Kluyveromyces lactis: one gene and its partners. The protein of the gene in region 3 purifies or fractionates together with the protein of the main gene of each other region. This does not show direct contact. Links are inferred from orthologs where the notes say so. Each region holds a gene or a part of one and is shown on either strand. Other genes may lie near its edges.

The links.
Region 1: the proteins of NAM7 (region 3) and RBS1 purify together in Saccharomyces cerevisiae (affinity purification with mass spectrometry; 3 studies listed by BioGRID, with this or other methods). This does not show direct contact. The link is inferred for Kluyveromyces lactis from reciprocal best matches to the Saccharomyces cerevisiae genes NAM7 and RBS1.
Region 2: the proteins of NAM7 (region 3) and LSM1 purify together in Saccharomyces cerevisiae (affinity purification with mass spectrometry; 3 studies listed by BioGRID, with this or other methods). This does not show direct contact. The link is inferred for Kluyveromyces lactis from reciprocal best matches to the Saccharomyces cerevisiae genes NAM7 and LSM1.

Annotation. Positions count from the first base shown.
Region 1 is NC_006042.1:520,875-524,107, reverse strand, and holds RBS1 (Rbs1p), read right to left. Parts: upstream 1,785-3,233; coding exon 507-1,784; downstream 1-506. Other genes in the region: RDI1 (Rdi1p), read left to right, coding at 1-263; ubiquitin-ubiquitin ligase UFD2, read left to right, coding at 2,854-3,233.
Region 2 is NC_006041.1:1,347,820-1,350,521, reverse strand, and holds LSM1 (Lsm1p), read right to left. Parts: upstream 1,166-2,702; coding exon 626-1,165; downstream 1-625. Other genes in the region: KLLA0_E15181g (uncharacterized protein), read left to right, coding at 1-286; FMP46 (putative redox protein), read left to right, coding at 1,783-2,172; DUF5427 domain-containing protein MTC1, read right to left, coding at 2,241-2,702. UniProt on the Saccharomyces cerevisiae protein: Component of the cytoplasmic LSM1-LSM7 complex which is involved in mRNA degradation by activating the decapping step.
Region 3 is NC_006038.1:566,395-570,750, forward strand, and holds the start of NAM7 (ATP-dependent RNA helicase NAM7), read left to right. Parts: upstream 1-1,513; coding exon 1,514-4,356. Other genes in the region: MBR1 (Mbr1p), read left to right, coding at 35-1,030. UniProt on the Saccharomyces cerevisiae protein: RNA-dependent helicase required for nonsense-mediated decay (NMD) of aberrant mRNAs containing premature stop codons and modulates the expression level of normal mRNAs. Also capable of unwinding double-stranded DNA and translocating on single-stranded DNA.

The DNA of each region.
Region 1 (3,233 bases), on a different chromosome or scaffold from region 3:
TTCAACACGAAATTATTACTGGCTTAAGATACGTGCAATACACCAAAAAGGCAGGCATTGCAGTTGATAAGATTGATGACCACTTGGGTTCGTATGCTCCAAATACCACAAAGAACCCATTTTATGAGGTGGAATTGCCTGAATCTGAAGCGCCAAGTGGTTTCCTTGTTCGCGGGAATTATTCTGCAGTCTCAAAGTTCATAGATGATGATAAGAACAACCATTTGACTTTGAATTGGGGTGTTGAAATTGTGAAAAGGTGATGATTTATGATACATACTCTAAGCTGTGACAATATTTTCGCCATTGATCAGACATTGATTGTGGATGAATCTTTAGTGACGAAGTAATGTTCATGTCCAGGCTAGTCATTGCCCGGGCCCATCTTCTGAACAACGTAGCTGGCGTTCTCTAAAAGCTGAAACATTTCAATATGAACAAGTAAAAACCATTATGTTTGTAATCGCATTATATACGTCTATGATTAGATCTAACTTTTATTTGCTTCAGCAACGAAAATGACGTGCTTCATTTATGGGTTTTCCATTCTTTTTGTATCCATTAGAGTCATTTTTACCACTGTTCTTTTTCTCATAAGGTTGAAATACTGGTGGTGGCATGGCATACATTGGTTGTCCTGGTATCATCATTCGATTGTTAGTCATTGGAGCTCCTATAGGGTAGTACATATACTCCATTGGCGCTACCATCTGATATCCGAACGGAATAGAATCTGGTCTCATTGGTGCCATCGGAGGTGGCACTCCATAATATGGATGCATAACAGGCTGTCTATTCAATGGCTTGTTATACCTGTTATTGTGTGAGTTCTGTCTCTTGTTGTTATGCTGGTATTGTGTTTTCTTCATATATTTCATTTCGTTTTGATGGTTTAGATTAAATCTGGAAGTCTCGAACTGATGAGGCTGAGGAGAATCATCTGCTTCCCCATTCGATCCACTTGCAGAATTCAGTGTTACAGGTGTCGCAGGTGGGGTGGAAACTGGGGTGAGGGACGATGGAGAACCAGAGAAGATCTTCTCTTTTTCTTCATTATACTGTTGTTCTTTTATTCTTCTCTGTTCCTCTAAATCTATGACCGTCGAATCTTTATTTGACCCTGCACCCTTTTCTTCTTCCAAAGTGTTTTCTATTGATGTTGAAGTAGTTGCTTCGTGGCTTAAATCCCTCGATTGTCCGCTATCTGTTTCCACCTCCCGTTTAAGTATCTTCACTTTTTTCTTGATAGACATACGAAGAGCTGCTGCTGCAGGTGAAACCCCTTCAGCACTTTTATCATCAGTAACCTGTGCATTGTCTCTGGTTGTTTGATTATCCGATACGTGTTCAGGAGCTGACACTGGCGTATGATGCTGACTACTCTGTCTTGGCTTTTGTCTTATTGTCTTGTGTATCAATTGTTGCTGATTATTAGCTGCTGCCATCGAAGCAAGGGCGTAATACTCTGGTGGAAACTGGTACATGACCTGTGGTTCCAATTCCTGGAGAAGGATCAGATTTGCATTTGGTTCATAGTCATTCTGTTTATAGACGATCACACATTTATCATTGTCCTTCGAAACTGTATGTTGCAAACCATGGTATTCTGCTACTTGATGCGACAGTAATCTATAATAAGAGTTCATTGGTTTCAATTGATAAGTATAAGCTGAGGATTCAACAAAATCTAGAACGCTATTCTCCAGATCAATCAAAAACACTCGATCCTGAGGTTTTTGAAACAACGCTATCAGCAATGCCGGCGTAACTTTAAGCTCTTCCATGTTACAATCCTCTTTCCAAAAAGTCGTTATATGGTACACTATCGGTAGAGTCACTCAGTGGTGATAATTCAATTACGTTGTTGGCAGAATACCCCTCGTTAACTTCAACCAATGGCTGTATATCTTGTAGATCTTTAATCTATTTTGTTCCGAAATACCAATACCTAATATTAGCTTCTTGAAAGTAAGGTAGGAACGAAGGGAAAAAAATTTGGCCAGAGTATGAGACAAATAGAGGAAGGGATTTAGGATAAACCTACAAAAAAAGGTGTTGAAGATTTCTATATGTGATGTTACTCAGACTAGTAATGATGCAGTCAATTCTTGAAATAATGGCGTTCAGTAATTTTTACTGAATTGTACTCCGTTGTATCTATGTAAGAAGTGTGAAAGATGAACCTTGTTTCTGTTAGATATGATCTATGGATAAGGGAAAACAAACTTGATATTTTTGATATGGCAACGAATGAATCAAAATTTAGTTGAAATAGTTGTGTATTTAAATAATACTGCTCGTCATGTGCCAATGGTGAAGTATGCATGCGCGTGTTGCAATTGCGAATCATAAAAGAAGGAACAGATGTTAACTGACACTGCGTAAGAAAGGTGCATTATTCAATTGAAACAGAGAGGATACCCCGTCTTTTGGATGGAGGCAATGTAGTGATTAAGTCGACGTGGGATCGATTCCTTCACAATCCAGTACCACGCAGCGTTTCTGGTGAAGAAGGGTGCATTCCTGTCGGAACCAATTGAGACAGATTTATTCGGACCCCAGAAATTTAATTTTCGGGGGCCGAAAAATACGCTGATACAAGCGGTTTACTAAGACGGAGAAATTACTGATATAAAGTTATCTAAATATACACTTATCAATTAATCAATATGCTATTAACGAAAATACTCATAGGGAATCTAGTGGAGTAGACGGCGAAAATCAAGTCTATAAGACCAAATTTTATAAATTTGGTATAACGCTCGTCTATTACACGAAAAGCGTGCTGTTAGGTATAGTGAAAGTATTCATCAGGTCCTAGGGTTTCATTTTGATTCAGTTTGATTTATCAGAATGACGTTAATGAGAGACATTTTTATGGTGACCCTTGACCCGAATGATTCCAAAGGGTGCACTTATGTTGGAGATATAGAAGATGTATCTGACCTTAGTGCAGACTGTGTTGATCCCATTGTTTTGTATCAATTGACCGAAAATGAGTCGTTACAAGAACAGCCGTTGAAATATTTAAACTCATGTTTCCAGCGTTGTCAGCAATCCAAACGTATATCGAAAAAGAATCTGGATGAACAGCAAACTATTACCTTACAAGAGATTGATAGGCTTATCGTGGGTTATGCTTTAGTTTGTTTCCAGATCGAAGAATTTGCAATTAAGGGCTCTTTCCAACAGTATATTTCTGATATATTACAAGATTTGGATAAGTTCACAGA
Region 2 (2,702 bases), on a different chromosome or scaffold from region 3:
TTACGAAGGTGTAAAAGCGGCAAGAGAAGAAATTGGGATGGTGAAAGCCGTGACACCAAAGGAAATCTCGTCACTGGTGGATTGGTCTATCCAGTTGCATGGATGTTACGGACTCTGTTCAACACAAACACCCTTGTCACATATGTGGCAAGTGAGTCGATCGCTAAGAATTAATGATACGCCGGACGAATCATTAATATCACAACTGGGGAGGTTGGAAATCAGTAATTATAACAAATTTCAAAAGACATACGATCAAGAATTAACGACGCTCGCTGGCAAATGAGTTGATCCGTTAGTTAAGAATTAATTTTGACCGTTATAATGGTTCTATTTTATGTCAAATGGGGATTATTGTCCCATTAATTTTTTTTTTTTTTTTTTTGGAATGCCATGCCGCGCTATCTATGCATTTTACTTATTATGAATAGTACAGTACCGAACCATATATAAGTGAATATATATATCTCTATGTGATATATAATTGAGTATCAAAAGATAAATACCCTTCAAAACCACACGATCTCCAGTTTGTGTAATGATTTAGTTTAGTTTAGTTTAGTTTCGAATTGTATGTTTTACGATTTTTTTTTGCTTGTCTTTTAAACTAATTATAATCTTATACTTAATACAAATCACCTTTATTGAAATCGGTAGTTAAACCAAGCTGCGCTAGTCTCTTACCCTTAGCAGTGTTCTCCTTGTATTTCACCTCGTCCATTTTCTCCTTATAGCTTTCAGCTTCCTCAAATGGAACACGTTCCATCGATTCCAATGGTGCATCCTCCTTATCGATGTCTACTTCGCCCAACATAACAACGTTTTCACCTCTTATCATGAAAACTCCTCTGTCACATTCACCATATTTATTCTCACCCTCGATATATATTCTTTCCACCGTATGCTGTAGTATTAAGTTGGCATATTGATCAAACGTCCTTAGTACACCGAAGAACATACGGCCATCGCGCAATAGTACGAATATCTTGCGGTCTACTGAGCCAACAATGGCAGCTGTAGTTGTGAAATTGTATTGGTCCAAATATAAATCTGCTTCACCTTCTGATAGCTTGGACTTAGGACGATTTTCTTCCACATCGGAAGCCACTGGTTCAGTAACTCCTACTGAACTTGCTCTGTCGCTATTCGGAGACGAAGAGGACATTTGTAATTTGAGACTCTGATTCTTTCAATGAGCAAGTGAAAAAAAAAAAAAAGATTATAATGAATTGTAAAATTCAACACTGATTGTGATAGTTCTGGGTATCACTTGAAGGATAAATAGGCCGTTAAAGCGTCCAACGATTCATCTTTTTGGCAGTTCATTGCAATTCCATTTGATGTTGAGCTAGCTGAAACGAATTGAAGAAAAAAAATGTATGGTAACGTTGAGGCAGGGTAACTATAGGATGACTACCTTTGCTACAGGACCGCATAGTCATTGCACAGACAAGGCACAAATGGTTAGCTTGATGATTCTGTTTCCAAGTAGGTGAAAGGTGCTGCCAATCCGGATACTAAGTAGGGACGTCATGACTCCGTATCATAGTATTGATTGCTGGATTTTCCGGGATTTTGTTTCCCTGCCATGCGTATTTGAGGGATAATAGTATGATTTCCAAAATGTACATATTTCAAAGATGTCTTAATTTAGTATTGCGTATATAAAGGCAGCAACAATTACTGGGGTGACCTGACTTAATTAGACTGAAGTATTTAACTGAGTAAAAGTTCGAATTTTTTATAGAGGGGGACATTGACAATCAGTATCTTCAATTCATCATGTCTATGTTTAAAACCATCCAATTTCAACCTCGCGTAGTGACATTATTCACACACAAATTAGAATCATCTCATGCTCAAAATCTTCTAACGGCATTAAAATCGAACCACAAGAACAAAATCAACATTGAAATATGCCAGAAATTCCCTACTAGAGATCAATTGGAATATTTGGCAAAAATTGATAAGCCCGACTTAATGGAACAGATTCCTAAGACGGAATCTCTTTTGAAAAAAGCTGCTGAGGATCCACTATTTGGGTCACCATTGCAGAAATGTGTCGAGAATGGGTCTTGGAATAAACAGACGAGCTTATGGGTTGACTGGGAAAAAGCTGTATTAGGCACGACGGTTCAATCGTTGAAAGAGAAATGGTTACCAAAAAACTGATATGGGAGTATAATAATGATGATTAATAACAGTAATTAGGGTTTTAAAATATGTATGTAAAAGACACTTCACAAATTCATTCTGCTTATGACGTATTGTTGGGCAAGAATACCGAAAGTTAGATCAAGACCTTCGGATATCCATGGTTTCACCCAATCACTTGGGTCGATTTTTTCTGTGGATTCCTCATCGCTTAGTGCATCGGATTGTAACCATTTGGCCCATTTGGAGGGGTAACCTTGGGATCTCACTATTAGCAAGATATCATTACTTATGTCTTTCAAGATGACAATGAAATGGAAGTTGTTTTGTCTCGATGCGTCGATCAAAACAGTGTTAGAATCGGCTTCGGATGATCCGTCTTTCCCAGTAACCTCGCAGGCCAGAATGCTGACAAAAAGATCGCTTACTTTACTCACTGGGTTACTGGTTCTTCTCGATTGTTTCTTAGCAGTCTCCCACGTCTTGATTGCATTGTCAAGGTTGGCCAAGCATAATTTTTCACCGTCAACGGCTTTACCTTGGAAAAG
Region 3 (4,356 bases):
TAGTTGTTAATATCAGTTTATCAATCCTTTTTCCATGTTGGATGAACGTCTGGAATCAGATGAAGGAGTAAAGCCTTTAGTGTGCCATTGTGGTTGTCCCAATGAAAGAGGCTCCATATTTGAGAGATCAGTGCAGGACCCCTTTTGCTCTACTTTTTACAATGATGATCAAGAACCACTCGAGATACACAGTCGTGCAGAAGATTCACTGTATGAATTGAATCCATTGCAGGAGGAAACGCTGTACTATAAGATTCCCAGTGATAATGAAGAAGAGTTTCAGGAGGTAGAGCTTGGAGGGAACCCATTCCGTTCGAATATGATGCGTGGAGATACTTCTTTGAAGGGGAAAATTGGATCACCATCAAAGTGTGGTTGTGTGGTATGTTCGAACTGCCACGGGCTAAGGAAACCTAGATCGAAATCGTCCGCTTCTTACAATGGATACAGTTTCTCGCTAGATTCAAACCCAGTCTCAAGGACAAACAGTATAGTCATTCCATTGTCTAAACAACCCACAAGACAGAGCATTGCTTCTTCTGTTGGATGTCTAGATACAAACAATACCATAAATAATAACAGTCTCTCTTTTGGATCCCCAACTAATATCACTGACGAGGGCGCAATAGATCCTAAATCTTCCAATGGATCAAGATCGTCCATTAGCTTATCTACAAATGCCATTCCAACACACTTATACAGCTTGGAGAGATACGTAAGTTCTGAATTGGATTCAGCGACGGAATCCTTCTTTGATAAGTCAAAACAATTGTCAGACGAAGCTTCAACTCATGGAACAGAAGACACCGTCTCTTCATCGTTGGCAAAAATGTCATTACGAACTTCACCTCAAAGTTCAAATAGCACAATTGCCAATCCAAACACCTACACTAATAGAACCATACCAGAAATACCGTCAGGAACTCAATCAATTAACCAATATTCATCTTCACATCCACCACCATTTTTGGACGCAAGAAAAAGAAGAAAGTCTTTCATTGAACAGGCTTTATCAGAGAGTTTCTCATAATAAAATTCACAACCCCAGTCTTCAACCACCCTCAGTTACCCCAATCATAATCATCAGTATACCCTCATGCATCAAATATATAAACGTAATAGGACATAGACTGTCACCTAATCACTATTTAATTACCCGACTTTTGCATGCATTTGCTGATTCTTTTTTTTTTTTTTCAGTTTGTGTACTTCACATCTCATCTCACATCTCATCAGAAAATGCATCAACTTCCATACATAAAAGTATTTAATCATAATATGCTTCAACAGTTATTATTTCCTATATCACTTTATCTGTATTTTCAAGAAGTTCTGTAAATTGAGCATCTATCAATGTGCTGAGTAACATATTTTGATTTGTGACTCTGACTCATTTCTTGCGAACTTTTTTTTTTGGTTAGTTCGATCTATTCTGTTCAAAGCTATTCTTTGAAGTAGATTGTACACGACTGGTGCCTTTATTATCTCAGTACAATTAGAATCAAGTTTCCTTATGACGATGCGTTTGCCAAATGAACCGTTTGATTCAGATTCGGACTCAAACGAATCTGTTTCTTTGAGAGACGATGACGACAAAAACTTTTTCTACGATACTGATGAGATGCTGGACGAGGAATACTCTGAGTTCCACGGCACTGCTGCTAATACAGATCCTATTGCGGAACATGCTTGTGCATATTGTGGTATTGATAATACTTCATGTGTTGTCAAGTGTAACATTTGCAGCAAATGGTTTTGTAATTCGAAAAATGGTACTAATAGTTCCCATATTGTGAACCATTTAGTTTTATCCCATCATTCTTCAGTTTCATTACATCCAGACTCAGAGCTAGGAGATACTACTTTGGAATGCTACAATTGTGGACGTACTAATGTGTTTGTTCTTGGTTTTGTTCCGGCTAAGAGTGAGGCTGTTGTGGTCTTGTTGTGCAGATTGCCTTGTGCTAAAATGAAGAATGTTAATTGGGATACAGATAACTGGCAACCACTTATTGAAGAAAGGAAGATGCTATCTTGGGTGGCAGAAGAACCAAGTGAAGAAGATCAGTTGAAGGCCAGGATGATTACTCCATCTCAAATTACGAAATTGGAAGCAAGATGGAAATCAAACAAAAACGCTACAATTATGGATATTGATATGGTCGAACAAGATGAAGATATTCCTCCGACTTTGATGAGATACACTGATGCTTATCAGTACCAAAGATCATTTGGTCCTTTGATTCAGTTAGAAGCAGATTATGATAAGCAATTAAAGGAATCACAGGCCTTAGAACACATCTCTGTCACATGGGATTTAGCATTGAACAACAGACATCTAGCTACTTTTGCATTATCCACATTCGAATCTAACGAATTAAAAGTTGCCGTTGGTGATGAGATGATTTTAAAGTATAGTGGTCCACAACATGCAGATTGGACAGGAAAAGGTTTCATCATCCAGCTACCAAACAGTTTCAAAGATGAATTTACTCTTGAATTGAAACCAAGTCAAAAAACTCCACCAACTAATTGTACTACAGGATTTACAGCAGTTTTTGTATGGAGGGGAACTTCTTATATTAGAATGCAAGAAGCGTTAAGAAAATTTGCTGTCACCAAAAAATCATTATCAGGGTTCTTGTATTATAAGATATTGGGCCAAGAGGTTCCAGATGTGGAATTTGATGTAGAATTACCCAAAAGCATTTTTGTGCCTCACTTCACCGAGTTAAACCAATCTCAAAGTAATGCTGTGAAGCATGTTTTACAAAGACCTTTATCATTGATCCAGGGACCTCCTGGTACCGGTAAAACCGTCACTTCAGCTACCATTGTTTATCATTTGTCTAAAATCCACAAACAGCGTGTTTTAGTTTGTGCACCATCTAACGTTGCAGTGGATCATCTTGCTGCCAAGTTGCACAGTATGGGTTTAAAGGTAGTACGATTAACTGCTAAAAGTAGAGAAGATGTGGAGAGCTCAGTGTCCGAGTTAGCATTGCATAACTTGGTCAGCAGGTCTGCAGAAGGTAAACTCAAAAAACTTCTCAATCTTAAGGAAAAAACAGGGGAACTTTCCTCATCGGATACCACGAAATTTGTGAAGTTAGTGAGAAAATCAGAAGCTACCATCATTCAAAAAGCTGATGTTATTTGCTGTACTTGCGTCGGCGCTGGTGATAAAAGATTGGACTATAAGTTCCGCACAGTATTGATCGATGAAAGTACTCAAGCGTCAGAACCTGAATGTTTGATCCCTATCGTCAAGGGAGCCAAACAAGTTGTTCTAGTTGGTGATCATCAGCAACTTGGTCCTGTCATTTTAGATAGAAAAGCTGGTGACGCTGGTTTGAAACAATCTTTGTTTGAAAGATTAATTTCCTTGGGTCACATTCCTATTAGATTGGAAGTCCAATATAGAATGAATCCACAATTAAGCGAATTCCCAAGCAACATGTTCTACGAAGGTAGTTTACAGAATGGTGTCACCATCGAGCAACGTACTATTGCAAGATCTACCTTTCCATGGCCAATTCATACTATCCCTATGATGTTTTGGGCTAACTATGGTCGTGAAGAGATCTCAGGCAATGGTACTTCCTACTTGAACAGAATTGAAGCCATGAACTGTGAAAAGATCATTACAAGACTATTCAAAGATGGTGTCAAACCAGAACAGATTGGTGTTATAACTCCTTATGAGGGGCAGAGAGCATATGTTGTACAATATATGCAAATGAATGGTTCGATGGAAAAATCATTGTACATGGGCGTTGAAGTGGCATCAGTAGATGCTTTCCAAGGTAGAGAAAAAGACTATATTATTTTGTCTTGTGTCCGTGCCAATGAGAGAAACACCATTGGTTTCTTGAGTGACCCACGTCGTCTAAATGTTGCGTTGACTCGTGCTAAATACGGTCTAATAATATTGGGTAACCCAAGGGCACTATCTCGCAATAGCTTATGGAGTCATCTACTACTTCATTTCAGAGAAAAGGGTTGTCTTGTTGAAGGGTTTTTGGATAATTTACAACTCTGCACAGTCCAATTGACGAAACCTTCTAGGGCACCCAGGAAAGCCCCATCCAACAACAGTAGTTATACACAATATGCTGGTCAGAGAGACTTTGACACTCAAAGTTTGGTCTCATTCGGTGGCCAAAACGTCGTTGAAAAATCTTTTATTCCAAACACGGACTTGTCTTCGTTATTGAACCAACAATATTGGAATGGACAGTCTTTTGATACACAATCGCGCTTAAGTGCTACGCATCCTGTTAACCAATACGATAAAGACGCGGTCAATTTTGATGGAAGTTTATCCAATGGCTTAAGGAAGTACAATGGAGTGGG